Rattus norvegicus: one gene and its partners. The protein of the gene in region 1 interacts with the protein of each later gene in a pairwise test. Links are inferred from orthologs where the notes say so. Each region holds a gene or a part of one and is shown in the gene's direction. Other genes may lie near its edges.

Region 1 (7,926 bases):
ATATCTAAAACTCACCTGGATAGTCAACGCCACGACTGTTTAAGATCTTATCTATCGGTATTAGGACATATTGGTACTTGACGTTAATTAAACCCTCAAGTATTTATTAATTTTGTCCATTCACTTAGACATTGTTTGTTCTTCCAGCTAGCAAGAAAGTTTTACCTAAATAGCTGGTATTGCCTTTTCCCGAGGAAAATTATAATTTGAAGCAAAGTTAAAAAAAACATTATGTGTTAAGTATGAAAAAAATCCTCAAGGATATTGATCAGAATTATAGCTCCATGTCATAATCCTGAGAAAGCGAGCCACGGCTCAGCTTGATGATTTGAAATACTTAGGTGTTATTGCTGTTCATATATACCCATCAGAAAACATTAATTTAATGTAGCTTATTTTCAAAGAAAATTGTAAAATGAGTGTTATTTGATGCTCAAAATCTACTACCTAGAAAGAAAACAGGGGGGAGGGGAGAGGGATTAATTTGATCTAATATTTAATTTTGAGAAAAAATATACACAACCCTATGGAAAAAAAAAACCATATTCTTCAGGTACCTCTGTTAGCATAGAGGGAAGTCTGAAAGGCAAACCATAGTTTTCAGGCACCACAGCAAGCCGAGGATGTCACAGGTGATCTTGGTTGCCTTACTAAAGTACCCTCTGGAATTTGGACCATGAGAGAATTACTATTAATACAAAAACACCAACAAAGCCATTTCCACTTTTTAAGCCATAAGTAAATAAATAAGTAAAAAAATACTGGTTAAAATTTTGAATGAAAAAGTCAAATTAGTTCAAACCCTGAAAGGTGGGTGATTTTTAAAACATGGATTTTCCTTATGTTTTATCCATGTCTGCTGTAAGTCTCATTTGTTAAAAACCAATGCTATCAGTGAACAGCTAGGTGAATTTACTTTGGGGAGAGAAGAAACTGCTTCTAAGCATATGACAGTCCCGCAGTCATCCGAACAGGGACTGTTAAATAAACAATGTTTCAAAATCCTGGAATCAGTCTGTGTTGCAGAAAAAGATAAACATTTTAAAATTAAAAAATGATTATGTTCGCCCAATTTCCTAGATAAATGTCTTTCGCTCTTGGAAATCTGCATTTATTTATTTATGGAGGTCAACACTTAACTTCTAATAAGTAGATTCCCAGTAAATGAATGAGTTTTTTGCTTAATGCTAAAAAGCTTAATGCTTTGTACAGCCCAAGGTCCCTTCTACCTTGTCGCACACAATGGGTCAGAGTCTTGTTTTTCCTCTAAGGAAAGAAAAAGCTGTGGGAATGTTGCTGAAATAAACTCAATTTTAGTCTTGAAAAACAAATAGGTTTCGCTGTGGTTCATAAATCCAACTCACTTGTAGACAATTTGATTTTCCTTTTAACCTTAACTTTTTGGACAAAGATTAGCAACAGATTGTTAATTTTCTCCGCACCTAAGACTCTGAGCAGCTTCCGCGGGAATCCGCATTAAGGTTTTATTTCACATCCTTTCCCCGTCAGCATTTGAATATCTTGTTCCTTTGCAAATTTCCCTAACGTTAAAAAAGATTTTTTTTTTAAACAGGTTTATATCAATCGAACCAAGCAAATGCTTGGAGCTAGTCTCGGTGACCTGTTTCAAGGGTTTGAACCCACAGTTACTGCGCCCCAAAACATTCATTCACCCACAAGATTTAGAAACACATAACGGCGCGGGGGTGGGGGGGAAGCCGAGGTCTCTGTGTAAACCTTGTAATCACCTCACAAAGTCCGTAGCTGAAAGCTTCCAAAGCCGGCCAAGAACATTGGAAGCATCTACAGCTGTTTTCAATTGTTCTTGATTTCCCTTCGTAACATATTTAGTAGGGCAATGGGTGCTTTTTGCAGCATCTCCGGCCCCCAGCCATGGTTGACCCTGACCTGAACACCGCCGTTTGGCTCCCAGAATTTCATGATCCTGCTTCCGTGTTCGGTAAAAACCTAAGAAAAATCAGGTTCGCGCCACCAGGAAATACGCTTTAAAAAAAGGCAGGGAGCGGGGTGGGGGTGGGGGCGAGATTCGGTCTTTTAAATGTCACATTTTGGTGGTCTTTCTCTCCACCAGATTCCAGAAAATGAGAAAAGACGTACATCTTTGTGTAAGAGATAAGCAGCTGGCCAGCCATGCCCTTTGCCTCACATCTAGGCCAGAGAGTCTCAATTGTGGGGTAAAGCCCCCACCCCCCCACCCCCACCCCCACCCCGAGGGGCAGCGACCCCCAAGTCTGTTCCAGAGATCAGAAGATGTCCACCACCAGGCTGTGGGGGGGCGAGGTGGGGTACACTCCTTAATGGAAACTGGAGCTGAATTCCTGCCCTGCTGGACAGGGAGGGGCCGTGGGGGTGCAGAAAGAGAAGGCCAGGGGTCAAGCCTGGGGAGGGACCCACTTGGCCCAGGAGGTGGGCTGAAGGGTGTCCTGAAAGAGGGGTGCTGGGGGGGCGCATTGGGCATAGAGCAGGACTAGCACCCTTCGGGCACGCCCTGGTACCCCAGAACCCGAGTGGGGGAGGGTGAGGCGGCGGCCTGTGGGCCCCTGAACCTCCATGTCGCGCGCAGGCCACTAACCTGTCAGTAAGAATGTGCCAGTGGTCGCGGGGCTCATCTTGAGTGTCCCCCGACCCTTTCCCGTCCAAGCACAAGGGTCTCCCAGCTCCCACCACCAGAATAATAGCATTCTTGGCCTGCCTAAGCCGTCCGTCCTCGATCCTCCCCTCCCCTCCCTTTCTTCTTTCCTCCCAGCTTGGCCAGTTCAGCATCGTGCACCCCCCTTCCTGAGCCCATACTGCCCCTAGCGGCGGGCCAAAGCGGTGCATGCCGCGCCCCCACCCATCCCCCCAGGCGCCCGCCCACGCGCCCCCCCTCCGCCCCCGCCAGCTCGCGAAGCACGCTGGGATTTGGCGCCCCCCTCCTAGGATCTCTCTATATAAGGCAAGCAGTCCGGGCTCTCGGTACACGCGTTTCCAACTTCAGTTGGTGTGTGTCGAAGAATCCTGACCAACTACGACCTGAGGAGAGCCACCAACCGAGAAGGTCCACCAAGCTTCGCCAAGGTCCGCTGAGTGGGCTGCGGTCCGGAGCCTTCTCCGGACCGCGGTCACCCAGTGGGCCCGGCCGTCGCCGGACCCCTCATCCTTCGTGTCATCGCAGAGGATCCTCGTGTGGTGAGTATGCGGTGAGGATTTTTTTTTTTTTTACCCGAAAATGATCACACGCAATCCCCGATTTTTCTTCCCAGGAGCTGCGGGAGATAAAGTAGCGCCCCCAGAATATCTCCTCGCGAATTTTGTCACGCCTGCCTTCAGTGGCCGCATCCTGAGACGAGAGCATGGAAAGCAAGTCTTCACGGCTTTGGGTCCGGGACTTCGGTTTCCATGACTCGCGTCCAGCATTGGTCAGTAGACGCATGAGCTGCGGACAGCGATGAGCTGCAGACGCACATGAGCTACGGACCGAATTGCGATGAGCTCCTCAAATGCGCTGCAAAGTGGCTGGCTACTCCGCTACTCTTTGGCGCTTGAATGCCGCGCTACAAACGGATAAGCGCTTTAGTTGCGCTGCAGACGGCTGCTTCTTGCGCTGTGCTGAACTAACGGGCGCTTCATGCGCTACAAAATACTAATAGGCGCTTTACGCGCTACGAAATACTAATAGGCGCTTCATGCGCTACGAAATACTAATAGGCGCTCCATGCGGCACGAACTGATGGGCGCTTCTTACGCTTCGATCGTCTAATAGGCGCTTAACGCGCTGCGATGTACTAATGGGCGCCATGCGCTTCGATGTACTAATGAGTGCTTAATGCGCTTCGATGTACTAATGGGCGCTTCATGCCTTCAGTGTACTAATGGGCGCTTCATGCGCTTCGCTGTACGAACGAGCGAACTGGCGAACGGGCGAACGGGCGAACCGGCGCTTCATGCGCCACAAACCAGCCCGAACTCCAGAGATACACAAACCGACTCCTTGCTTCACGCACTCAATTCCGAGCTGCAGGAGAGTCACAAAATGCAAAAGCGCAACAAGAGTGGGCTTAGAAATGCGCTACAAACTGCGGCAGAGGCAAAAGACGTGCAGACTCGAGCTACGCGGAAAGTAGTGTAGCGTTGGAAAGACGAGAGAGTACAACTCTCTCCTCGGGGAAGAGGCGACACAGGTTTACCTTTCGGATCAAAACGCGTTGCGTTTTCTGGTCAGACGTCCATCTGCATGATGGTGGTGGTGGTAGACAAAATGGAGCCCTGAGAGGCCAAAAATTGGTGTTTAACATTCTGCCCACGGGACTCCTGCTTACGGCAGTAGAGTGGAGGGGTGCTGGATTTTGGAGATGGCAGAATGGGCTGCCTTGTCTAGTGGTGATTGATTGAGGTGACGGTGCAATAGACTCGGGGGCACGAATTGGTGTCCAGCAACAGTTTGTGGAGACAGTCCGGTTTGCTGGGTGGGTCCGAAGCCGAGATGGGAGGTGGGGGTTTGCTCTTGCTCTACGGAAGGAATTTGGTGGTTGGGAGGGGTCGGGGAGGTAGGGGGGCGGGGGGAGGCATGCAGACATTCTGCAGCCCTGTAGCAGCCAGTCTCAGACCTGCCCCGCCCATCCTAGCCTTGTCTCATCTGCAGAGAGGTTGCGCGCCTCGTCTGCGCGCGTCGCCTGTCGCGCGCCTTTCCAGAACATGCTTCCACAGGCCCCACCTCCCGAGTGCTGATGCCTTTGGGACAGCCTACTTAGCCCCCGCCCTCAAGGCCCGCCTCCTCTGAGGCGGCCTGACAAGGCCCCGCCTTTCCCTTAGCCCGCCTCCTCCTAGGAGGCCGGCCCAGGTCCCGCCTCTCTTAATGTCCAGCTCCTCCCATAGCTCCTCCTCTGAGGAGGCCTAGAGCCCCGCCTTCCCTCAGCCTGCCTGCGCCTGCGCACTGTGGGCCGCAGCCCCTCCCTTCAGGTATGCCTCCACTGCGCAAGTGCGCCTCTGCCCTGTCTGAGCCTGGCTGCACAGCCCCGCCTCCCTGCGGTTTCTCTGTTGCGCGGTTTTACTTTTTGTCCACAGGTGTCTAGTAAATATAAGAATAATAAGAATAATTAACAGTCACAATAATAAGTATACCTGGCAAGCAAATGCACTTTTAATAAGTGCATTGCATTATTAAATAAAAAGATCCCACAATTAAAACTCCTGATAGTGGGATATGGGAACTAGTAAGAAGACGTAGCTGATGCCTTAAAGCAATGAAGGCAATTAATTTTAATTTTATTTTAAATTAAAAATTAAATTTAATATTTTCAAATTTAATTATTTTATCAAGACACCATTGGACTTCCTGAAATTAAATGCTTTGGTAACTACAAAGACAGAGGTGACGAGCACTGTGTTTCTTAGGAGTTTTCAGTGGCTTTGGTGTTATAGCTTGGCTTCTGGGAGAGATGTTTATTAGCGTAGAACAGGTTTGTTGTTGTTTTTGTTTCTTAAAAATTCTAGGTGATTGGGCCTGCCTGGCCTGCTTGTAAAGGTGTGCTTGGCGCATAGTAAGGATTAATTAATTGTGTGTTGAAGTCCGAATAAATTATTGTCTTGCTGCTGGCCTTCAGGCTTTTTTGGATTTTTGTGCCTTTTTCCTATGGTGCTTTGCTGTCCTGAGTTGAGTTGCTGCCCCTTTTGAAAACACAATTAAAAGTTTCTTTTTAAAAAAGTATGTTTTTGAACTTCAGTAATGTAAGCTGTAATTATAATGTGAATCAACTAAGTTATATTCCAAATAATTAGCTTTTTTCATAAAAAGCTAATTATTTGTTATTCCAAGTAATTAGCTTTTTTCATAAAAAGCTAATTATTTGGTGTCCCAAGTAATTAGCTTTTTTCATAAAAAGCTAATTTACACTTGGGGCAAGTGGGTTATTAATGCTACATATTGACATTTAAATTTTGCATGATGTAACAGAGTGGTTACATTGTAAGACATAGATTGTTTCAACTGGCTTAATTAAACATCTGTATAATTTACAGAGAAGCCAAAATGTTTCTAAATTAATGAAGCAATTTTAAAAAAATCTGGTTCCATATATTATAGACTATGAGGGAGAAACAGGGGCTTTTGCTCCACCAAGCTCTTGCCTTCTTAATGCCCCTCCCTAGTGTATAACTATCTGTGGGATGTATATATGCTTATAATTACAGCTTGAAATGCATGCTTTGTAAATTTTGTCTGTATATTAAAGAGATTCAAAATACTGAAAAAATGTATGCAAATTATATTGCACAAATAATCCAGGTAATACTAAGAAAAGGAGATTTTAAAGCAACTAAAAGTTGACTAATGGTGTTTCATTTCCTAATGAGACATTTACATATGATTTTACTTACTATTATTGCTCTTTGTGTTCAGGGGAATTAAAACTTGGAAGAAGTCATTTTAAAGAGTTAATAATTAATCAAATTTATTTGTTTATTTTTAATTGACTAAAACTTAATTATCATATAAATATGGTCCTGTCTCAAGCAGCTTGGCTTATACAGTGTGAACTCAGTTTTCAGGAATGGGAGCTCACCCATCCCCCCATTCCCCCCAACCAGTCCAGCCCTTTAAGGGGGAATTTGAGGAGCCACAATTTTTAAGTGAAATTAAAATGAAGTCAAAATGCTTCTTGCTCATCATCAACCTGTGCTGCCCAACAGTAAACATTGTCATTCCTTGTTTATGATTACTGTTAACCAGTTTGCCCAAGATCCTATTACTTTTTACGATTAAAACTAACTACTCAGTTTTGGAGTAGAGTCCCACCCCAAAATTGCAAGTCCCCCCTCTCCCCAGGGGTAAGGCCTGGGAGTGGTGAAGGTCACAGATCTTCAACTGGTGACCTCACCTGCCAAATGAGGCACTTAATTTGTTTAACCAGCATTGTATTATTAAAAAGCAAAAGCAAGCCCCCTTGAATATCTTGATGGGAGGGGCACACCCCAAGTTGTGGGAGTACAGCACCTCCCCATTATCTTAGCTCTAAGCCCACTTTAAATGATCTTACTAATTAATTAAATGATTGATTGCTGGTTTCCTAATGCAGATTCTGACCTATAGTTAGCTGTCTTTTATAGCTGTTAATGTCCACCAGACCTGGCCACAATAAAGCCCAGCCCAGTAGGGCTAAACCTTCCTGACCTGAGTCAGTCTGTACTAGGCCTCTCTGAGACCATCTTAAGAAAGGTTTTAATTTATATTTTGAAGGTTTTTTTTTCTTTTTTCTTTTCTAGATGACAAGTCACACTTTAGTCACCTGTGTGCTCTGCTTATTGGAAATGCCATAGGAACAACTTAAGACAAAAGGAAAATATCTCCAGGTGGTTATCACAGGGGAGGGGCTTAAAAGGTTGGGGTGGGGGGTTGCAGTGTTTGTTAAGAAAGCAGGGGGGAGGGGACAAGGATGAACAGGTATCATGTGGGATGTCAGTTTTCCTTTTTTTAAAAAAAATATTCAACAGGTTAAAATATTAGCTAACTTTTCTAATTAAAAAGTTTTTATCTTTTTAGTTTCATGGAAATTAGTTAGTACCCATTTTGCCTTGATTGATCAAAGGAAAAAACTTACCTTTAAACTTATGACTGTTCAAAAGTTTTAAACTTTATATCCTAAACTTGTAGTGAGCTTTTTTTAATTACAAGTTTGTAACTATTAAAAAGTTTTAAACTTTCCAAACAACTTTCAAAAAAGTTTTAAGCTTTAAACTTAAAAGTTGTAAGTTCAAACATAAAGTTATTGTAACTTCAATAAACTTTGTTAAATTCTTTAAAAAGTTTGCTAGACTGTCCAATTACAAAGTTTTCAAAACTTTCTAAAGTTTTAAGCTTTAAACTTCAAAGTTGTTTGTAAGTTCAAACTTTTTTTTTTTTCTTTTCTTTTTTTTGGAGCTGGGGACCAA
Region 2 (7,669 bases), on another chromosome or scaffold:
CTATCCTGAAACTCTACAGACAAGGCTGGCCTGTAATTCACAGAGGGGAACAAGTACAGAGGGGGGTGTGGGGGGTTGAGTTGTCTCTCGATGTGCCAGAGTCCTGGGAGGGATGGGGAGGCCCCAAGGAGCTGATAGGGACGACTCTAGCTGAGACTCCCAGCGGTGGGGAATATGGCACCTGAAATGGACACTGCCTGTAGCCAGGCAAGACTCCAAGTGGAGGGACCCACCCACAGAACCTTTGACCCAGAATATGTCCTGCCTACAAGATGTGCAGGGACATGGATGGAGCACAGACAGAGGGAGTGACTGACCAATGACTGGCCCAGGTCGGGACCCATCCCATGGAACCAATCCCTGATGCTGTTAATACTTGCAGACAGGAATGCAGCCTAACTGACCTCTGAGAAGCTCAACCCAGCAGCAGATAGAAACAGATTCAGAGACACACCCCCTCCCCCGAGCCAAACATTAACCTGAACCTGGGTAGTCTTGTGGAGGAGTTGGGGGAAGGACTGGGGGCCCCGGAGGAGGATGGAGCCTCCACACGAAGACCACAGTCAATTAACCTGGACCCTTGGGGGCTCTCAGAGACTAAACCACCAACTAAAGAATGAGCATGGGCTGGACCTGGGCCCACACACACTTGTGTGGTGCTTGGTCTTCATGTGGGACCCCCAACAACTGCCTCTGAACCTGTTGCCTGACTGCGGATTCCTTACTCCTGGCTGGACCACCTTGTCTGGCCTTGGTGCATGGTACTGCAGTGACCTGATATGCTGGGGAGGTGAGAGGAGCTCCCCACTTTTCGAAGGAGAAGTGGTGGAAGGGAACGAGAGGAGCTGTGGGGGTAGCTGGGAGGAGAGGGGGTGCCGATATTCAGAGTGTGGAGTGAAAAAATAAATTAATGGAAAAAAAAAGACAGTCTCACGATGAAGCTCTGGCTGGCCTGGAGCTCAGAAATCTGCCTGCCTCTGCCTGGAATCAGAAGCACACATCACCACACCAGGCCTTAGACTTTTTTAAAAAATCTTTTTGAGGGGACTGGGGAGATGGCTCAGTGATGACTAAGAGCACTGGTTATTCTTCTAGAGGAACTGGGTTTAATTTCCAGCACCCATATGGCAGCCCAAAACTGTCTGTATTTAACTCAAGTTCTATGGGATCCAACACCTTCATTCAGACCAAACAACAATGCACATGAAATAAAAAATAAGGAAAGCATTTTTAAAAATCTTTTCGGGTTTTTTTTTTTTTTTGAGAGAGGGTCTCATGCAGCTCAAACTGGCCTCAAATTCCTTGCCTTCCACCTCCCAAGCGCTGAAATTACAGACACATGTCGCCATATCCAGATAAACAAAAAGCGCGGGGCTAGGAGCCAAATTCTGGACGTGGCAAGTGTGAGGCAAGCATTCTGCACTGTGGTACATCGCCAGATCGCAACAGCATTTGGAAGTGTTATCCTGCCCTTATCAACAATAGATCAAAAGAGATTCCGAGTTTTCTCGAGTGTTTTCAAGAAAAGTGGGCAGCCAAGCACCGTAGCGCACATCTGTAATATCAGGACTTGGGAGACTGGGACAGGACTATCTCCAGTTCGGATACCTATCTAAGCATCTGGGTGAGCTAAAGGCCATCCCAGATGAGTGGGTGAGATCCTGTCTCAAAAAAAAAAATAACGTGGGCAAAGGGTCCTGTTTGAACTTCTCGCTCTGTCTCCCTTCATGATCATCTTCTGTAAATGACAGTCATGGAAAAGTCCCTCGCCTTGAATTTTGGTCAGGGGACATAGGAAACAAACGAGTTTCTTGCTCGACTCCCTTTACAATTGGAATTTAAGTAATGTAGAACCCTATGAAAACCTGATCTGTCCTTTCAACCCCCGTCTCATCCCTTACTCGTCTCCTTCCATCGAAGCCCGCAAGTAGCTGCCTTGCTTTTGCTCTAAAGGGAGCCTTCCCTTGAATTTCTCTTCAAAAAGTTTCCCGGTCCTTTTCTTTCTGAATCTGCTCTTCCTTCACAGCCCGCGGTGCCCCACGCACACTGTAACAATAACAGTTACGTCTCTATTTCTCCCCAAGAAAGACACTGTGGGGGCCAGGTACTCACGAATCTAGCCAAGCCCCGAGCCCCAGGTCGCCCCAACAGCAAGAGGGCAGCCTGGCGCAGGCCACGGCTCGGCCTCCAGATCTTGGCCGCGGACATCGCTACCGCCATCTTGGCTAGTAACCACTCCTCCTTTCTCAGGAGATAGACATGCGTCTGTCCCATCAGATGCCTTATTCAAATCTCAGCACCACTAGGCCAACGCACTATTTTCTTCCAACCGCCTAGCAACAAAGACGTAGAAATAAGTAAGTTGACCATTTTTATTCTTTAAAATTGCTCCAGTCGTCTGCTTGGAGTTGTTCCAATATCAGGCAATAAAAAGGACAACCTCACTTGAACCTCCAGGGTTCAGGGCCCGGGGCCTTGGGCAAAATGGGCCTAGTCCAAGTCCTGCCCCTTATTCCCTATTCTCCAATGGCTTTGCCAGAATTGGGAGGTGGAGGTGGGCAGGACCAGATTGTTAGTAAACGCCGAGCCACGTGCTAGGGCCACTTCGGGAGTGCCCTAGATTGGCGCTTGCGCGGTAGGTACACGGCCGGTAGAACTGCGCGTGCGGCTGAGCGGAAGCTACGGTAGGAGCCCCAGCGCGCGTGGTCAGCGGCTATGGAGGGAGCAAAGCGTGCAGACGCCAAGGTACTCACTGACACCGGAACAGAGTCCAGCCCTCGAAGTCCAGTCTGCAGCCTCCGGCACTTTGCTTGTGAGCAAAACCTGCTGTCCCGGCCGGATGGATCTGCTTCTTTTCTGCAAGGTACGACTTTAACAAGGTTTAACTCAGCGCGCGCCATCCTCACCGAAGAAGGGTTTTTGAAGAGCGGTTACTGTGTAGTGTGCAACCAAGTACGCCCACCTCCTTGGAGAATTTATTTCTAGATATTGCGTATACCCACCTCCCGACTCGAGAAGAAATGATTTGGCCAGGCTGGTCAATACCTCTTGGAAGAAATCCAGGGCAAGACCCCTCTCCTAAGAGTGAATATTCCAGAATAGGTGTTTCACCAAGGCAAATATTATCCTTGACTAGATTTCTTAAAAAACACTTCTGGATCCATACATCATCGGTTGAGGCTAAGGTGTTTATTTGCATAAATACCCTTTGAGACAGACACATCACCACTACTGGTTTAAATATAATTACTGTGGCAGGTGATATACCTAAGTAAATGCTCTGAAAATTGAACGTGATCCTCCCATCCTGGGCTAACAAGTAGCTCCCCTTCTCTGGTCCCATCATTTGAGAAAACATGCCTTTCCTTGGTATACACGTCTCATCAGGGTAAATGAATAGAAAGAAAAGAGAGATCTCGAGGCTGAGGCCCACATAACCCTGTATCCCAGTCCAGCCAACCAACTTTGAGAGGTCATGGGAGGGTAAAAAACTACCAGAGTAGACAAATGAAGAGGACAAAGATGGAGTTGACAATGGGGAGTTGTGTTTGAGATATTAAGAGCTGATCACTTTATGGCTAGTAAGTTAGTGTGGGGTAGTGGTGGGTCAGAGAGAGCAAGAAAGGACAGTTAAGACAACTGTTCAGGCATTTTCCTGGGAAGGGATCTGGTAGATGGGACAAGAGTTGAAGACTGACAGGAGCTTAAGAAAAGAAATAACACCTTTAGTCACAACACTTGGGAAACAGAGGCAGGGTCTCTATGAGTTCGAGGCCAGCCTGGTTTGTGGAGAGGAGTTCCAGGAAACCCTGTCTTGGGGAGAAAAAAAAAGGGAGACAACCGGGAACTGGAGAGATGGTTTGGTGGTTAAGAACACTTGTGGCTCTTGAAGAGGACAAAGTTCAGTTCCCAACATCTATTCAGGAGGCTGTCAAGCACTTGTAACTCAGGAGCTAGGGGATTAGAAGCCTCTGCATGCAGGGACACACACACACACACACACACACACACACACACACACACACACACAGAGAAAGAGAGGGGGGGCTTGCACAAGCATGCATGCACATAATTAAAAATAAAATAAATCCTAGGGACTGAAAAGGGGAGAATTTCTGTAGCCCCGTTGTAGAGATGGTGGGAAAGAAGAGACTATTTTGCTTGCCGAGAGCACAGTTTATACAGCAGAACAGGAACAGCTACTGTGTAGCTCTAGTAAGCACCTGAGTCTAGTTGGGTCACTTCTGGTTTCAGGGCAGATGTTGGCGCTAAGACCCTGTCCCATTGGGTTTCCTTGGAAAAGCACCCGCAGATGTAATAGTGTTCTCATCCCAGGCTGGCTCCTGGTTTTGCTCACTTGCTAAACTCAGCGTCTCCTGTCTCTCGAGATATAAGAAATAGAATGGGAACCCTTCCATGTTCTAAAACTCTAAACCACGGGGCCCTGGTGCAAATTGGAGACCTTGCAGACTTTCAAAAAGAATGTTGCAGATGGGGCTGGAGAGATGGCTCAGTGGTTAAGAGCACTGACTGCTCTTCCAGAGGTCCTGAGTTCAATTCCCAGCAACCACATGGTGGCTCACAACCATCTGTAATGGGATTTGATGTCCTCTTCTGGTGTGTCTGAAGACAGCGACAGTGTACTTATATATAATAAATAAATAAATCTTTTTAAAAAAATGTTGCAGACACATCTGACCTCAAAGGCTCCTGCAAGAACACCCTATGGGAGGGGGCGTGGCATCAGTGAGCAGTGCAAATGATGGGTATATGTGATAAATGACACACTAACCCTATTACTTCATAGCTGACCTCATTAGGCTCCTCTTGCTCTAATAAGGACCATGACCAGAAGCAACCTGTGGAGGAAAAGGTTTGTTTGGCCTACATACCCCAAGTCCATTGAAGCAGGAACTGAACCATGGAGGAGCCCTTGCCTTTCATGGCTTGCTCAGCCTGTTTTCATTTATAACCCAGGACCACCTGCCCAACAGCAGCGCCGCCCACAGCGAGTGGGACCCTTCCATATCAGTTGTTAATCAGTGAAATGCCTTGGGTCCGGGAGTGTGTGAATTCCCCTGCAGACTTGCCTACAGACCCTTCTGATGGAGGCAGTCCCTCAGTTGCCTCAGTTGAGTTTCCTCTTTCCAGGTATGGCTAACTCGTGCTGAGTTTACCAAATGCAAAGCAAAGGAAGTAACTAGCCAGCACAGTGTCTTACCTTACAAGCAAAATTGATAAAAAGAAAAAAACCCAACAAAAACAAAACCGATGGTACTGAACCCCTAATCCTAGCAGCAGGGAGATAAATAAAGGCAGGAGGAGCAGCTCGTGCCAGGGTCACTCAGCTGCACAGCATGGGCGAGGCCAGCCTTGACCACACAGAACCTGACTGCAGAAAGTCCAATGGAGGGCTGGAGAGATGGCCCAGTGGTTAAGAGCACTGACTGCTCCTCCAGAGGTCCTCAGTTCAAATCCCAGCAACCAACCACCTGTAATGGGATCCGATGCCCTCTTCTGGTGTGTCTGGAGACAGCCACAGTGTACTCATATAAATAAAATAAATAAATCTTTTAAGGGGCGGGGGAAGGAAGGAAGAAAAAAAAGTCCAGTGGAAACCTACAGAGCCCCGGAAGCTGCCCGTGTAGGTTTGTCATCCTATTTTCTGCTTTGGATTTAGCATGAATGCCCCACCACAGAGTGACATCCCTGAGCCCTCAACTTTTAAATGATTGATTTCCTATGGATGTCCCCAGTGCCCGAGCAGGACAGAAGAGTGTGAACTTCCCAAAAATGTAGTTACAAATGGTTGCGAGCCATCTCTCCAGCCCCAACCTGTGATCCACTGTACACATACATTTTATCAGTGTGCAGCTGTGCTGTAAAGCGGGAGTTATGTCAGAAACGTGGAGACTGCTGTGCAGTGCAATGCCTTCCTGTCGTAGGGAGCCTCTCTGAAGCCTGCAGACATTAACAAACTCCTCACACAAGGGCCAGTAAGACCCGGACGGGACCAGAAGCCAGACTTTTTACTCTCCAGACCCATTTGTAACCACTCTGGGAAAATATGCAGAAATTAAGACCCCCCCCTACACATCACAATCTTTTTTTGTTCATTTGTCCTTTTAAAATGCTTTTACTAATATATTTTAATTATATCTAATAAGGGATTTGTTTGGTTGGCTTATGAGATGGTCTCATGTAGCTCAGGGTGGCCTCAAACTTAGCTCGGAACCAAGGATGATCTTGATTTCCTGATCCTCCTGTCTGTCTCCCAAACACTGGGATGTGTATGTACTTCGGGGGTGAGAGCCATGTGTGTGCCAGTGCCCATGAAGGGCAGAAGAGGGTGTCGATCTCTCGGAGCTGGGTGATGTGGTGGTTGTAAGCTGCCTGATGGGGGTGCTGGGAACTCATTTCTAGTCCTCTGGGAGAGCGGCGTGCATGTTGACACACCACCACCACCCAGCCATCCCTGCGGCCCCAACTGTCTCTAACAATTCACCATGGCTGAGGTCCGCAGTAAGCTCTGCCCCTGCTGACCAGTGTCCTGCATGTTTGAAGGGAACTGCTTCTCTTTAAAGTCCGTGTTTATTTCATCTTCTTGTGCGATGCTGAGACACATGGCCTCCTGCTGCTGTGAGACCCAGTCACCTGATCGGCACAGAAATGCCCTGAGGGGGGGTTGGGGATTTAGCTCAGTGGTAGAACGCTTGCCTAGCAAGCTCAAGGCCCTGGGTTCGGTCCCCAGCTCCTTAAAAAAAAAAAAAGAAATGCCCCGAGGAAGACAGTGCCCCTGCTCAAGTGGTGGGTGATCCCCGCCTAAAAATGAGAGAGCAGAGGAAAGAAGTGCTCAGGGTGGCACAGAGTAACCAAGGCCTCCCTCGTGTTCCCCCAGGTGATACCTCTGTCCTGGCTGGAGTCTACGGGCCGGCCGAGGTGAAGGTCAGCAAAGAAATCTTCAACAAAGCCACCCTTGAAGTGATCCTGAGGCCGAAGATCGGCCTGCCCGGTAACTGGACTCCACTGACCCCCACCCCACCCCGTAAAAAAAGGAACCCGGCTCGTCAGGACCTCCTGAGTCCTCGATGCTCGAATGTCCAGTCTCTCTGCACTGCTCTCCTCCCTCTTTGCCCAGCCTTTGATTCTGCTGCACTGGAATGGAGTCCAGAGCACCACGTCTGTGAGGCAGAAGCTCCTCCAGGGTGGATTCTGGTCGAGCCCTCTGCAGAGCTTAGGCTTCCGGGATCCGCACAGGTGGGCTCCAGGCAGGCATTCTAGCCCAGAGCCACGCCATTAGCCTTTCCCTGGTGAATTTAAGGCTATGTGGCGAGGCCATGCAGCCAGCCCTATTGACTTTTTGAGACAGTCTCAAATCCTCTGAGCTGGTAGTGAGCTCTCTTTGTAACCCAGGCTGCCCTCAAATTTGTGATCCCGCTGCCGGGGGGATCAAGTCCCAAGATTACAGACCTGACCACCAGAACCACCCTCTCTTCCTACAATCTTTTTTTTTTTTTTTTTTTTTTTTGGTTCTTTTTTTTTTTTTTTCTGGAGCTGGGGACCAAACCCAGGGCCTTGCGCTTCCTAGGCAAGCACTCTACCACTGAGCTAAATCCCCAACCCCGAGCCACCCTCTCTTGAGCCACGTCTCTGCCTTCCTCTCTCTTCC
Region 3 (7,901 bases), on another chromosome or scaffold:
CAGCCGGGGCTAGCTGGTGAACGTGCCCTAAAACCAACCAAACTAAAGGTTAACTTCTGGCTTCCATGTGCATGCATACATATCCACACAAACAGGCCTGCACGAAACCTAGTAAAAACTGGTTTACTCATGTCGTGACTACATATTTCATTAGTGTTCTGGAATTCAAGCAATAAATTGACATCCTACAAAAGCTACGAAGATGGAGCTTGATACCAATTCAAATTCTCTTGCGAAATTAAAACTCCGAGGAGTACTTCACATTATCTTCATCCTTAAGGTAGTCTACTAATCATATCAAAGAAGCATTTGCATTAATAAAAAAAAAAAAAACAGCCCGGAGATGCCTTAGTGGGTACAGGTGCTTGCTGTGAAGCCCAACAATCATCAAATGGCTCCAATATGGCGTTAGGAGAGAACAGACTGCCATGCATGTACCACGGCATGTTTGTGTGCACATACAAGGAAAATGTAAAAACAAACACCACCTCAAGTCCCTCTTCCAATCTTCTTTCCAGCCTTTTAAATCATAGTGTCCTGGACCTCATTCTACTTTACCTCTCCTTCCCACAGCATCTCGATCATATAGAAATAGTCTTTTTAAGATCTGTGATCACAACCTCTGACTCGGCCCAATTACATCTGTTCACTTATAGTGTTGGTTCAATTAAGGGGTGACACCATCCTTGGGGGTTCATCTAGGTTCAAGGAAGAGAAACCACTCAAACTAGTTTAAACAAAAGCGAGAATTTATTAGGCAAACAGACTTGCAGAGATTCCAAAAGCTGTAATGGGTCAATAGCTAGAGCCACATTTTCCTATAGGACAGAACATGCTGTAGTCACCAATTCTAGTTCTGGGCTCTGTACCATCCTGAGGGTGGTCCTGCTTGTACCCTGCACGAGGGACTAGAGCGTGGGTTCGTTTTTGCTTGCCTTTTTATCTTTATAGTCCTTTACGCTGGCCTCAAACTTGACAAGCACATGCTGGCAGACATTCAAGAGCTCATTCAGGCCTTTCTGAAACGGCTCAACAGCTGGAAGTGCACCCCGTGTCTGAATTCGCAAATTAATTTTGCTCTCTGAAGGATGGGTCGTAGTGTAACCACAAAATTCCACTTCCGGGTTCTTCATGATTATGTACCGCAGACAATTTCCTAGTGTATGGTCCTCCTCGTGTAGTACAAATGTCACACACTGTCTATCTGTTCCAGCTGCCTGGACCATTTCCAGGGCTGTCTTCCTCTCGCCTTCAGCCATTGAGGTCTTCAATCCTGATATTTTTCTACACACATATTTTTTTGTGTAAGAATGAGATCATACGGAATATCGTTTTCTGATTAACTCTTAAAGATTCACTGCCTCATTTTCCTGCCTCCACACTTCTAGCCATAAATATTTAACTCGTTTCTCCCTACTTCATTTGACTCCAGCAAGGGGGTGGGTACCACCTCAGAAAAAAAACAAAACAAAAGAAAAACAACCCACGAAGTTAATTGTTTGCAAAAATCTTCGGATAGAGCAAAGAAAGGGGCAGAGTTATAATAGGGTAGGCCCTGCTTTAGATGAAAAGGGAGTTGACAGGCATAAAAAACACGATTACTTTAGCATAAAAATGGCAACCACAAGGTATCAGGGTGGCAGGCTCAGTTACAGCTTCCGTTTGAAAGAGGTAAGGAAACTAAGTGAAAGGAAGTGAAAAGTTTAATAGGAGGGAGAATTTGGCGGACAGAGAGAATTTACGAGCAGTCTGCACAGAGCGGAGTTGCAGTAACTTTAGCTAACTTAACACGCCAGGACCGCCACTCGGGACGGCTGGCCCGGTGCGTGACCTTACACGAGGCAGTTCTAATGAGGGTGGTGGCAGTTTGGGACTTACAGCTGGATTCCCTACCTCTCTCCCATCCCGGATGGCTAGCGTCCCTCTGGGCTTTTCTGTTATAAATGAACCCACGGCTCCTCCCTCTTCCCAACCCGGCCCGCTCTATTCTCTCTCCTCCCTTCCCCAGCGCCTGGGGTCAGGCCTAGCCGCCACGCCGGGCTCAGTCGGCCGCGTGCCCCTTCGCTACCCGCTTCTCTGGCCCGACCCGCCGCCCCACTCCACTCTTTGCCTCCAACCTTACCTCTCCAGCTCCTGATCGTCCTCCATCGCGGGGGGCGGCTCCGGGAAATCCTCAGGTGGCGCTGGCGAAAAGGAAGATCTTCCCCATGTCGCGAAAGGTGCGGGACAAGGCAGGAAGGAAGAAACCACCGACGGAAGGAGCGGATGACGGAAGGAGGGAGGCGGAGCCGCAGCGGCGCGGCAGGGCCCCCTCTGAAGGGCGGGGCTAAAACAGAACCCGCCCCCGACCACGCCCAGGCTCGGGCTGGACCGCTCACCTGGAACTGCGGAAGCCAGGCGGCTGCGGTGCACATTCTGTCCCCGAGTGCTACCGTAGATCACAGGCTTCTCGCCTGTTGCCCCGAGACATCTGCTATTTAGCGTCGGGGTCGGATCTCTGACTTGCTAGAGTCTCGAGGAACGGGACTGCCCCATGGCTGGCTATTCCCGGGACCGGAGTCCTCAGGGGCCTTTCCTGGGGCACCCAGCATATTGCAACCTTGAAAAAGCAGAGAGACTAGTGTGCAGAGGTGACTTTCCTGACGATACTGTGGGCTTTTTATTTTCTCCCAGGGGTGCAAATGTACATCTCCAATAGGTGCAAGGGCAGCGTTTGTCTTTCTTTTGGGAGAGAAGTGAGAGTTTGGAGCACCGCCCTCCTTCCTCCGGAGCTCACGCGGTGGACTTGCAGCTCCTTTTCCCTTTGAACCCAAGGAACCGCCCTTCTCAGGTGCATCCTCTCTTCTCCCACCTGACCCTGGCCAGGCTGGATCCCCGCCCCACCCAGCTGTCCTCTTGCCCTGCACACCTACACGTCAGCCGCCCCGCGCCACCTGTTCTCCCTCAGCCTGGTCCCGCAGCCCTCCCCTCCCTTCAGCTGTCCCACGCCAGGCGCGGCGCTCCAGGGGTGCACGCAGACACTTCCCGAGCGTCTTCTCTGTGTGTCTGAGGGGAGAATCCGGCCGGGAGCGATGGCGGAGGGCGGAACGCGCTCACTCTAACTCGGGAGTGATGAGCAGGGCCGACCCGGCCCCTAGAATTCCTTGATTGGTCGAGCGGCTCCAAGCCCGCTCTTAGTCCCGCCTTCGCCCGCCGTTGATTGGCTCAGGTGCGTGTCGGGTTGGGCCTCTGCGCTCGCCCCCGAGGGGAAAGGCAGCAGGGGCGGTTGAGAAGTAAAGTCTTGGCCGGACTTTGCTTCTCGCCAGGAAATCGGCGGCGGTGAGTCCCGGCAGAGCGGAGCCGGGTAGCGTCCTCGTTAGCGCGCCCGCGGGGAGCCCGCCGCTTTCCGTCAGTGAGTTACTTCGCCTCAGGTGCGGGCGGTGACGGGGTGTGGCGTCAGGGTAGGGGGGACCATCTGGGGAACCGCTGGGGGCCGCGTGGTGTCTGGCCCGGCCCGGTGCGGGTGCAGGTTCCAGGAGACCCGGTGCGGTTCTGCGCGCCTCTCGCTTCTCAAGACATGGACGTTTGAGGACGAGTTGTTGCACTTCGCGTCTGCACGTTGTCGGGAGCTAGAGTGGCGCTAGCCAGCTGCCCTTTGGTTTTGTTCCCTGGAAGGGATGAGCAGAGAGACCCTCCTCCCCGCCCCAGCCTGTTGCGGGGGAAGTCTCACCTTTCTCTTCAGATTTGACATGTTTGGGAGCGTGGGGGTATAATTTCCAAAATATGAATCCCGATTTGGAAGCATTTGCGCACAAAACACCTCTTGGGGAAAAACATCGCTGGCTTTTGAAAGCTTTCTGCCACGTTTCACACAAGGGCTTTTTTTTTTTTTTTTTTAAATGGAGTGTTCTAGTATTTCCGTTTGCATTTAAGATTGTGTGTTTGCCAGGAGCCTAAGGACGCTTCCGCGTGGCTTTTTCGAATCAATTTTTCTTTTCTCTGTAGCCTTGGCCAGCCTGGAACTCAGAGGGATCCACCTCTTTCCTGAGTGCTGTTGGGTTAGAGAGGCGTGCGCCCCACACCCCGCCAATTTTTCTTTAAAAATAAAATCACAGAAACCAATGGCAAGGATAGTTGGAGGATTCTGTGAGCTCCAGTTTATCCAAACTGCCTTCACTTTAAGAATGTCACATTCTTTGTAGTCACAGTACTTAGAAATTGGCCTCCTTCCCAGGACACAATTTGCTTTTTCTCTAGCCTGTACAGTGACACAGCACAGACGAAGTTGGATCTCAGTAGGTCAATCCTGTTTGCTTTGATAGATTTGAACACCCTCCCTCCCCCACACCTTCGGAAAAAAGGACTTTGGCAGGTAAAGAAGGAACCTGGGGGAATCTAGTGTCCTATTTGGCCTGCAGATCATTGTTGAGCCAGAGCTAAGAAGGTTTTGCCATTTTAGCCTGTCCAAATTCCATGTGAGTTTTCCCAAAGGGGTCAAATGTAGGCCAACTCAGAACAGCTCTAGAGTCACATTGCTTTTAATTTAGTCCATCCACTAAGTCTGTGTTCTTTTCCTCTAATCTTCAAGTTTGAGCCTTTTCATTGTATAAACATTTAGCTACTCAGTGTCTACCGCTTTGGCAACTTTGAGGAAAGGGATCATTTCTTGCCCAAAGTTGCTCAGTGGCTGTATACTTCTTAGTCCACTACCGGAAAGTAATTTGAACAAAGTAATGTGGGAACTTAAAATCATTTCTGCCTAGAATGTGTCAGAGGAATTGGCACAGGCTCTCTCTGGGAGCATCCTAAATGCTTATGGCTGTAGAATGTGACATTATCTGCTGTGCGTATGGTTAATCTGAAGAACACAATGTTTGGGGTTAAAGTAATAGGGGTCAGGGGCTGGTTTTTTTGTTCATCTTAGGTAGGGTTCATGGTATGTTCTACAACTGGACCCTCAGATATCTGTTGAAATACTAAAAAGAAAGGATTTTGTGTAGCACATGAAGACGTTTGGACACTTCATCCAGTCAGTGATCGTGGGGTGTTCATTTCAAGCAGGAAGATGCTGTGGTGAGGTTTGCATTCCATAGGGATAGCTGGGGGACAGTGGGGGTCCCAAGAGTGAGAAACAGAATGGGGCTACCGTGAAGTCTCTGTGCATATTATCTGTGTTTGCCGGGCTTTATTACCCGCTCTTAGCTCTTTAGCATTTTAGCCTGGTGGGTTTGAAAACCTGAAAAAATAAAAACAGTCATGGCTATGGCTCAGGAAAAGCTCAGCCAAAGCTTGTCATCAGCGGGTGAAGAAAGCTGGTGTGGCGTTCGGGCGGTATGGACTCCTCAGAGAGTGACTAGGTAGGAGCAGTGAAAGACGTTGATCCTTGGTTTCTTGATTTGCCTGTCTGCTTTCTGTTTTTGTTTTAGAGACAGGGTTTCTCTGTGTAGCCCTGGCTGTCCTGGAACTCACTCTGTAGACCAGGCTGGCCTTGAACTCAGAGATGCACCTGCCTCTGCCTCCAAGAGTGCTGGGATTAAAGGCCTATGCCACTATGCCCTGTGATTCCTGGTTTTTTTTTTTTTTTTTTTTTTTTTTTTTTTGGGGGGGGGTGAGTATGGACTGGTTAAGCTGGTTATGGAGGCAAAAGAGGAGTCGGGTTCTTCCACTTGCCTTTCTTTTTTTTTTTTTTTTTTTTTTTCTTTTTTTCGGAGCCGGGGACCGAACCCAGGGCCTTGCGCTTGCTAGCCCAGGGCAAGCGCTCTACCGCTGAGCTAAATCCCCAACCCCCTCCACTTGCCTTTCAAATTACTATTCCATCTGGTTTTGATTCCCTAACAGGCAGGAAATAGTCATAGTACTGTTTAGTAAGGTGTAAGGATCAAGTGAAATTACGCATGTCATACCCTCGACACAGTCTGTGGCGCTGAATTCCAAGCGCTGAATAAATATTAGTTGTTCCTTTAATGGCAACAGTATTAGTGAGGTAGTGCAATGAATGATGGTGGCTTGAGAAGGAGCAGTTTAAAACTGGGATGGTAGCGTACAGGGAGTCCGGCTCAGGCTCAGGCTCTGTCCTGTGAGCTGCCACATGGGTGATTGACATGTCAACCCAGCATGTTGGCTACACATCGCAAGAGAAGCCTGTGAAGAAGAGAGAAAGAAAGGACTTTTGCATAGTCAGTCTTTTTGGATTCGTGGTAAACTGTGAGATTGGGGGACAGGGGAAGGTGGAGTCTGGAGAGCAGTGCTGGTGGGGTGTTCATGTGGGACAGCAGGTGTGGGAAGTGCGTTTCAGAGCTGGGTGTGGAGACACACAACTGTCATCTCATTCATTCAGGAGACTGTGGCGAAAGAAGACTGCCGTGAGTTTGAGGCCAGCCTGTGGGTGCATAGTGAAATCCTATGACAAAATGACAAAAACAGCCCAGGTGGCAATGGCATGCATTCGGTCCCAGCATTTGGGAGGCAGGGGCAGTCAGAGCTCCTGAATTTGAGCCCATCATGGTTTACAGAGTGAGAGCCATGACAGGCAGGGATACACAGGAAACCTTGTCTAAACAAACAAACAACCCCCCCCCCCCCATGACAAAAACAAAACAACAAAACCCGGCCTCGGTGTGGCACATACACTTTTTCTCAGCTTGGGAAGCAGGGGCAGGCTGATCTTTTGAGAGTTTAAGGCTAGCCTGGTCTGTATTTCAAGTTTCAGGACAGTCAGAGCTATGTAGCAAAACCCTGGCCTGCCCACCCACACCCTGCCACATTGATTTTGCTGTAAAGACCTGTGGTTCCTACACCAGTTGGCTCTGATTTTTTTCTCTTCTTCTGCTTTCCACTCTCCCCTCCTAACCCCCACCCCAACTCAAATCCTTCTTACTCTGCAGAACGGTGTAACATTTCCCCCTTGCTTCCTGAACTACAGCTCTTTCCATAGCTGCCTTCCTACAGGCAGGAAGGATAGCAGAAGATAGGTTAACTTAAAAAGTGGTGCCAGCTAAAAAATTCACACACACACACACACACACACACACACACACACACACCCCCACACACCCCTCACACATAGGATTGTAAAATGTAGAGTTCTCCAGCTTGACTGTTAAAGAGCCTAGGAAGTTTCACAAAACAAATCTCCTTTAAACTTCCCTTAGCAGCAGAAACAGTAAAGTTTTGGTAATTTCAGGTAAATTTTTGGACTGGTTGGATCCAGAAGATGAGAGCTATTAGCTTAATGTGTTTTTCAGAGGACTTTTAGTTCTCTACTGCAGGATGACACCTCCCTCCAAGACCGGTTTGTGTGACTTGGAAAAAAACCTAAGAGTTTCTATCTTTTAGATTGTATGCTTGCTAGAGCAAAGGTCCCATCTGTTTTGTTCACTGTAAATTCCCCAGTGTGTGTGTGTGTGTGTGTGTGTGTGTGTGTGTGTGTGTGTGTGTGTGTATACATGAAGGAATGAATCCGCAAGCTTTGGTCTGCCTTTCTGCATATGTTTGGTCAGAGGGAAAACAAAAGAGAATGTGTTGTGACAAGAGGCCCTACAGTGTTTGCAAGCCTTTAAGAAGATACCTGGGTGAACCCATGGTTGTTAAGAGCCAGCTGTTTCCATGTGAGATAGATGCTGTCATTCTTCTCTTTTCACAGTTCACTGCCATGGCTGTGGGGTGTGGTAAGTTCTCCAAAGGTAGAGACGACCTCTGGGTCATGGTTCAGTAGTAAGTGCATGACACACGGGGTATAACCTTGGTCATAGGTTACTGACCACAGCTTCCTGGTTCCTGGGAAAGCTCCCAGGGAGAGCCTCTGCTATCTCTGTGGGGATGACTGGGAATCTAGACAGAAATGTTTCCAGAGAAGGCTAGGTATTAGATAGTTTTATTGCCCTAGCCTAGGCACTTTAGAGTGCTACCTCAACAGGCCATTT
Region 4 (7,681 bases), on another chromosome or scaffold:
TGAAGCAATCCCACTAAAATCAGGGACTAGACAAGGCTGCCCACTCTCTCCCTACTTATTCAATATAGTTCTTGAAGTTCTAGCCAGAGCAATCAGACAACAAAAGGAGATCAAAGGGATACAGATCGGAAAAGAAGAGGTCAAAATATCACTATTTGCAGATGACATGATAGTATATTTAAGTGATCCCAAAAGTTCCACCAGAGAACTACTAAAGCTGATAAACAACTTCAGCAAAGTGGCTGGGTATAAAATTAACTCAAATAAATCAGTTGCCTTCCTCTATACAAAAGAGAAACAAGCCGAGAAAGAAATTAGGGAAATGACACCCTTCATAATAGACCCAAATAATATAAAGTACCTCGGTGTGACTTTAACCAAGCAAGTAAAAGATCTGTACAATAAGAACTTCAAGACACTGAGGAAAGAAATTGAAGAAGACCTCAGAAGATGGAAAGATCTCCCATGCTCATGGATTGGCAGGATTAATATAGTAAAAATGGCCATTTTACCAAAAGCAATCTACAGATTCAATGCAATCCCCATCAAAATACCAATCCAATTCTTCAAAGAGTTAGACAGAACAATTTGCAAATTCATCTGGAATAACAAAAAACCCAGGATAGCTAAAGCTATCCTCAACAATAAAAGGACTTCAGGGGGAATCACTATCCCTGAACTCAAGCAGTATTACAGAGCAATAGTGATAAAAACTGCATGGTATTGGTACAGAGACAGACAGATAGACCAATGGAATAGAATTGAAGACCCAGAAATGAACCCACACACCTATGGTCACTTGATTTTTGACAAAGGAGCCAAAACCATCCAATGGAAAAAAGATAGCATTTTCAGCAAATGGTGCTGGTTCAACTGGAGGGCAACATGTAGAAGAATGCAGATCGATCCATGCTTATCACCCTGTACAAAGCTTAAGTCCAAGTGGATCAAGGACCTCCACATCAAACCAGACACACTCAAACTAATAGAAGAAAAACTAGGGAAGCATCTGGAACACATGGGCACTGGAAAAAATTTCCTGAACAAAACACCAATGGCTTATGCTCTAAGATCAAGAATCGACAAATGGGATCTCATAAAACTGCAAAGCTTCTGTAAGGCAAAGGACACTGTGGTTAGGACAAAACGGCAACCAACAGATTGGGAAAAGATCTTTACCAATCCTACAACAGATAGAGGCCTTATATCCAAAATATACAAAGAACTCAAGAAGTTAGACTGCAGGGAAACAAATAACCCTATTAAAAAATGGGGTTCAGAGCTAAACAAAGAATTCACAGCTGAGGAATGCCGAATGGCTGAGAAACACCTAAAGAAATGTTCAACATCTTTAGTCATAAGGGAAATGCAAATCAAAACAACCCTGAGATTTCACCTCACACCAGTGCGATTGGCTAAGATCAAAAACTCAGGTGACAGCAGATGCTGGCGAGGATGTGGAGAAAGAGGAACACTCCTCCATTGTTGGTGGGATTGCAGACTGGTAAAACCATTCTGGAAATCAGTCTGGAGTTTCCTCAGAAAATTGGACATTGAACTGCCTGAGGATCCAGCTATACCTCTCTTGGGCATATACCCAAAAGATGCCTCAACATATAAAAGAGACACGTGCTCCACTATGTTCATCGCAGCCTTATTTATAATAGCCAGAAAATGGAAAGAACCCAGATGCCCTTCAACAGAGGAATGGATACAGAAAATGTGGTACATCTACACAATGGAATATTACTCAGCTATCAAAAACAACGAGTTCATGAAATTCGTAGGCAAATGGTTGGAACTGGAAAATATCATCCTGAGTGAGCTAACCCAGTCACAGAAAGACATTCATGGTATGCACTCATTGATAAGTGGCTATTAGCCCAAATGCTTGAATTACCCTAGATCCCTAGAACAAACGAAACTCAAGACGGATGATCAAAATGTGAATGCTTCACTCCTTCTTTAAATGAGGAAAAAGAATACCCTTGGCAGGGAAGGGGGAGGCAAAGATTAAAACAGAGACTGAAGCAACACCCATTCAGAGCCTGCCCCACATGTGGCCCATACATATACAGCCACCCAATTAGACAAGATGGATGAAGCAAAGAAGTGCAGACCGACAGGAGCCGGATGTAGATCGCTCCTGAGAGACACAGCCAGAATACAGCAAATATAGAGGCAAATGCCAGCAGCAAACCACTGAACTGAGAATAGGTCCCCTGTTGAAGGAATCAGAGAAAGAACTGGAAGAGCTTGAAGAGGCTCGAGACCCCAAAAGTACAACAATGCCAAGCAACCAGAGCTTCCAGGGACTAAGCCACTACCTAAAGACTATACATGGACTGACCCTGGACTCTGACCCCATAGGTAGCAATGAATATCCTAGTAAGAGCACCAGTAGAAGGGGAAGCCCTGGGTCCTGCTAAGACTGAACCCCCAGTGAACTAGTCTATGGGGGGAGGGCGGCAATGGGGGGAGGGTTGGGAGGGGAACACCCATAAGGAAGGGGAGGGGGGAGGGGGATGTTTGCCCGGAAACCGGGAAAGGGAATAACACTCGAAATGTATATAAGAAATACTCAAGTTAATAAAAAAAAAAGAAATGAACAATAATTTGATTGCATAGCTTGATAGTAAAACAATTTTATTGTGCTGTTAGCCAAAATATTTACCTACAGTAAACATATAGTTAACATTTCCAACAAATTTACAAAATTATACAATGAGAAGTTAACCTCAACTTTAGAGTATTTTCATTTCTCTAATAATCACGTTGCCCTTCGGTTCTAATTCCATTTATTGTTTTTTGTTGTAGGATACGGAGCTGATATTATCTCTTCTAGTTTCTCTTGCTATTCATAGAGAGTGTAAACTATATCTTTATCTGTTAATCTGCTTGAAACTGAGCTACAAGTGGATAAAGGTCCTCAGCATAAAACCTGATAGTCTGAATCTGGTAGAGGAAAATATTTGGATTATACTTGAATTTACTGACACAGGAATGCATTTTCCCCAGTAGTTAATACATTAAATCCAATTAATACATGGTAACTCATGAACTAGACCGCTTCTGTAAAACAAAAGACACTACACTATCACTTAAGTAACGAGGCAGCCTTTAGAATGGGAAAAACTTTAACAATTATGTATGTGGGATGATGTCACTGGTGAGGCAGGTACAAGATAGAATGAGGCCTGTCATTGGACGAAAAGGAAGGATGGGCGGGAGAAAGTTTTGAAGGAAGAGGAGGAGACAGAAACGGAAGAGGGGAGGAGAGAGGAGCGAAGCCGCGGCAGAACAATTTGGAAGCCTGTGTTTAGATTCCACGCTGTACCTCAGCAGGTTATATATGTTCTTAAGGGATGGATGTGTAATGGGCTTTGTATGTTTAGGTGGGCAATTGTATTTTATCAATTGGATCAAAAATTATTGTGTTGTATCATCTTTCATGTGTAGATTTAAATGTAAGGAAGTGTGGGGCGGCTTGTCTGGGTCGACATGGAGTTGGGATGTGTGTTTCTGGCATGGAAACCTGCCTTGGGACCTAGATAGGTAGAGAGATTTCTTCCAGGCTCAGAGAGGCCTTCGGCAGTGTGATATGGGATGCAGCAGAGCAGGTGAGACGCTTTGCTGACTGAGTTTGGGATATCTATCAGATATCTTGGGGGTACTGTGGTGCCGGACCTAGAGAGGGTATAAGACAGCATTTTATTTTTATAATTTTCAACAACATATATATCTGACACGTTAATATTTAGAGTAAACAAGGAACTACACATCAAGAAAACAAACAATGTAAGTAAAAAATGGGGCGTAAAATTAAACAAAGAGCTCTCAAAAGATGAAATGAATATGACGGAGACATTTTGTTAAATGGTCAACATCCTTAGCCATTAGGGAAATGCAAAGTAAAACTACTTTCAAATTTCCTCTTACTTCAGTCAAAATGACTAAGATACAAATAGCAAGTGATGACAAATACTTGTAGGGATTTGGGGAAAGGAAGCACTTGTTCACTACTTGTTGAAGTTATTCATCAGTGTGTTCACTGTGGAATTAGTGTAGAGTTCCTCAAAACACTGGAAATTAATCTACTGCTTGGGCATATACCAAAAGAACCCTATATCTTACTAAAGAGACACTGTCTCATTCATGTTCAATGCTTCTGTATTTATGATAACCAGAAATGGAAACTCCCAGATGTCCATCAACCAATGAATGGATGGTAAAAATATAATACATTTATACAATGCAATACCATTCACCCATTGAATACTAAAGTTGAATTTTTCAGGTAAATGCATGTATTTGAAAACAATCATTCTGAATGATGTAAAACAGACACCCTCCTCCCCAAAGGACAAATGTTGATTGCTTTTACTTGTTGCAGATGCTAGTTTTGCATCTTCAGATTTGTGTATTTATTTTGAAATGCCCATGGAAGTCAGGAAACTAGTAAGGACATATGGTGGGGCATAGGATGCTTTTAAGGGACCAATTAAATGATGCAATCATTTAAAGGGAGAAAAGGGAATAGTGAAATAGGAGGAATGAATAAGGTGGGAGATGGGTAAACTGGTTAGAAGAATATATACATAGAACAATAACAAAAGATCTATGTACAAAGTCATATGGAAACCTATTCCCACATATATTGGAGCTGTTAGCCAGTGAAGTCCCATAGACCTCCAACTATTAAATGCTATTGATATTGCTCTTGGTTATCCTCCAGAACTTGACAGTAAGACCTTATTTCTGATGACACCGCATACTTGAGTCATAGAACAGAAAGAAGTCAAACTGGTATCCATCTGATAGCTTCATTCTTACTGGATAAATTCCATGTTGCTGAAAGGTGCTATGTACGTTAACAGAATGGAAAAATAATCAGTAACTAACTCAGTTGTACAATGGTGGCATGGATATTTTAAATGTAGTAAACTATTTTTTTTCATTTAAGGCCTGTTCCACAAGATGAAACACATAACTAGCACAATTATTGAGGGCAAGAACTTTTGATCAGGTAATTCATAGTCCCTAGGGAAGAATTTGCTATTATTATTCTGCTAAATGGACACAGTGTTAGTATAAAACTTAGCACTATGCTAGTAGATTTGTGGGTAGTTCAACCCTCATCACCGTCATCGGAGTAGCTTCTTTTTGAAGTAAATGGTGCTAACATAAAGAACTAAAAGCAGCTCCGGTGCACTAGAGTAATAAACTACAGAATTCTCAGCCCAAATATGATAAGTGAATCATACCTCTTCACCCAAGTCAGGGATTATTGCAGAAGAAGGAGTGAAAAAGAATGTTAGAGCTTGTCAATGTGGATAAGGACAAAGAAACAGTACTTTCTGGGAACAACTATGTGGTTTCACATGAAACCCACAGTCACTGAATGTATACAACCCGTGTAAGTTCAAGCCCAACAGAATTTCACCACGGGGAGAAGAGGTGGGTATATTTCACATCTATGTGAAGACGATTGTCAGTTGATGGCTTCTAAAAAAGGAAGCATCAGTTTTGCTTAAGGGTGTGGCTTAAAGTCTAATGGATGACCCTATACCCAAGAATATAAAGATAACCCAAAGCAGACTGGATGAGTTAAAAACAAAACACAAAACCCCAAACACAAAACCAAACCAAAACCCCACAAAGTTCGGTGGGCAGGACAAAGGGCATGAATCTGGATGGTTTTAGAAGAGACAGTGGTGAATATGCTCAACTTGTATGAACTTAAATAACTAACAAAAGTACTTTAAAAGAAAATGGACATATACAGTATGATGGTATTTTTTTTTCCTGCCATTTTCAGTTTGTATAATTTTCCATTCCAGCATCAGTGTGTTAATGCCAATTCTGTGTGCCCTTACTGGCACGTGACATTTTCACATTTTCCTTACTATTTTCTTGTTTATCTGGCAGGGCTGTATCTCGAAGTTTCACCCTCTTTTTTCCTAGAACTTCATGATATTCTGCATCTTCACCAGTGATTTCTATTGGTGCATTTTCTCTTTGGAAATGTTGGTTCACATATTTTTTCATGTTAAATTCTATTTTCTCATTATTCAATGTTTAAAGTTTTTCATGTACTTTGAATAGCCTGCCAGTAAAAAAAATATGTAATTTTAAAATCTGAGTTTCATAACATATTTTATAGCCTATCATATAATTATATTTTAATTATGTTTTCAAGAATACAAGCCTTAAATTTCAAGTCAAATATATGGTTTTCAAGAATTGTGTTTTGATATGCTTTTCAAACAACAAATATTTAACCTGAGATCACAAGATGCTCTACAATGTTTATTTAAGGAATTTATACTTTTAACTTTTATAGTTAGGTATATGAATAGTTTTGTGTCAATTTTATGTATACACTAGAATTACTGACATTCATATTTTCCACATTTATAGCCAATAGTTCCTCAAACACTTTCTAATATGGTTATGCTTTCTTCACTGTATTACTTTTGAAATTTGATGAACAATTCTTTGATATATTTGTTTAATTTAATTTGATTTGCTCTTTATTAAAACACAATTACAAAATTCTACCCCATTAGCTTCTTTATAACCTCCCTCATGTTCTCTTGCCAGTCTATATCATTTTATGGCTTCTTTAAAAACTTATTATTGTTAAACACATACAAACATAATGGCATGCCAACAGGTGATGTTATTTTTTACAAGTCTTGTGTAAATAGCCATATTTTTAAGTCATCATAGGTATAGCTTCCCTATCATATCTAGAAGACATACTCCTACTGAAACCTCTTGGTTCTATGACTTTTATAATCTTTCTGTCCTCTTTCCCTTATATTCTGGGCTTTAGACGTAGGGATTTTATTGTATTTTTATCAACTGGAACTAAATATCCCATGGTTACGGTACTCTGCATTTCCCTCAGTGTAGCTTCCTGTAATGGTGTCAATATGTTGTAAAAAGAAGCTTCTTTGAGAAAGATTAGAGCTAAACTACTCTATGAGTATAAGGATAAGTATTTACAGTGTTAGAAATTCTACTGCTTTGGGAAAGTAGAAGTAGTTTGCTTTCCTTTAGGATACATATGTAGTTGGCTAGGTTTGCAGTACCAGGCAAAGTACATGCCTTGAGTTCAATTAGCTGTTATTTATCATGGAACAAAGAGCCACCATTTCACCATAGGGATTATTTCCTCTGTCTTCTCATTGTAGTGATTTTAAAGACTGTGTGACTGAATAAGACTATTGGTTGATTGCAATCTTTTGGTATTAGGAAAGTTAATAACCAGATATAAAGCTTTCAGGTCTGATGCACTTTAATTCTTCCAGGTCCTGTGTCCAAAACATATGGTGTCTTAATTTCATGTTCTAGAAAGAAACCAAGGGCCACAGCAGTAGCTTATATTATTTTGGGGAGTTTTTCAGACTCTCCTTACCAACAACTTGAAAGGAAATTTCATGTCTTGCAGAGTTTTTTTTTTTCTTTTGATAGTGGATGGCTCTTTAGGAGAGCATTATCACTCCATGTGTTACACACACACACACACACACACACACACACACACACACACACACACACATATGTAACAAAATCAAAGACCCCAAAAGAGTACATGTACATAACCACACTCCTCTGATATTTGAAAAGATGCCAGTAAGTTCAATTGGAGAAAATACAGCACTTTTAACAAATG

Evidence for each region.
Region 2: the proteins of Peg10 (region 1) and Exosc5 interact in binary tests that used the Homo sapiens proteins (3 or more experiments, as listed by UniProt). The link is inferred for Rattus norvegicus from reciprocal best matches to the Homo sapiens genes PEG10 and EXOSC5.
Region 3: the proteins of Peg10 (region 1) and Lnx2 interact in binary tests that used the Homo sapiens proteins (3 or more experiments, as listed by UniProt). The link is inferred for Rattus norvegicus from reciprocal best matches to the Homo sapiens genes PEG10 and LNX2.
Region 4: the proteins of Peg10 (region 1) and Ldoc1 interact in binary tests that used the Homo sapiens proteins (3 or more experiments, as listed by UniProt). The two-hybrid records come from large-scale screens. The link is inferred for Rattus norvegicus from reciprocal best matches to the Homo sapiens genes PEG10 and LDOC1.

Annotation. Positions count from the first base shown.
Region 1 is NC_086022.1:33,806,045-33,813,970, forward strand, and holds the start of Peg10 (retrotransposon-derived protein PEG10), read left to right. Parts: upstream 1-2,981; 5' UTR 2,982-3,189; intron 3,190-7,260; 5' UTR 7,261-7,347; intron 7,348-7,926.
Region 2 is NC_086019.1:90,293,277-90,300,945, forward strand, and holds the start of Exosc5 (exosome complex component RRP46), read left to right. Parts: upstream 1-2,632; 5' UTR 2,633-2,715; coding exon 2,716-2,863; intron 2,864-6,898; coding exon 6,899-7,012; intron 7,013-7,669. Other genes in the region: Bckdha (2-oxoisovalerate dehydrogenase subunit alpha, mitochondrial), read right to left, coding at 2,113-2,220. UniProt on the Homo sapiens protein: Non-catalytic component of the RNA exosome complex which has 3'->5' exoribonuclease activity and participates in a multitude of cellular RNA processing and degradation events.
Region 3 is NC_086030.1:13,115,887-13,123,787, forward strand, and holds the start of Lnx2 (ligand of Numb protein X 2), read left to right. Parts: upstream 1-3,252; 5' UTR 3,253-3,391; exon of another isoform or gene 3,392-3,410; intron 3,411-7,901. Other genes in the region: Polr1d (DNA-directed RNA polymerases I and III subunit RPAC2), read right to left, coding at 2,123-2,148.
Region 4 is NC_086039.1:144,998,498-145,006,178, forward strand, and holds the start of Ldoc1 (protein LDOC1 precursor), read left to right. Parts: upstream 1-3,269; 5' UTR 3,270-3,345; intron 3,346-7,681. UniProt on the Homo sapiens protein: May have an important role in the development and/or progression of some cancers.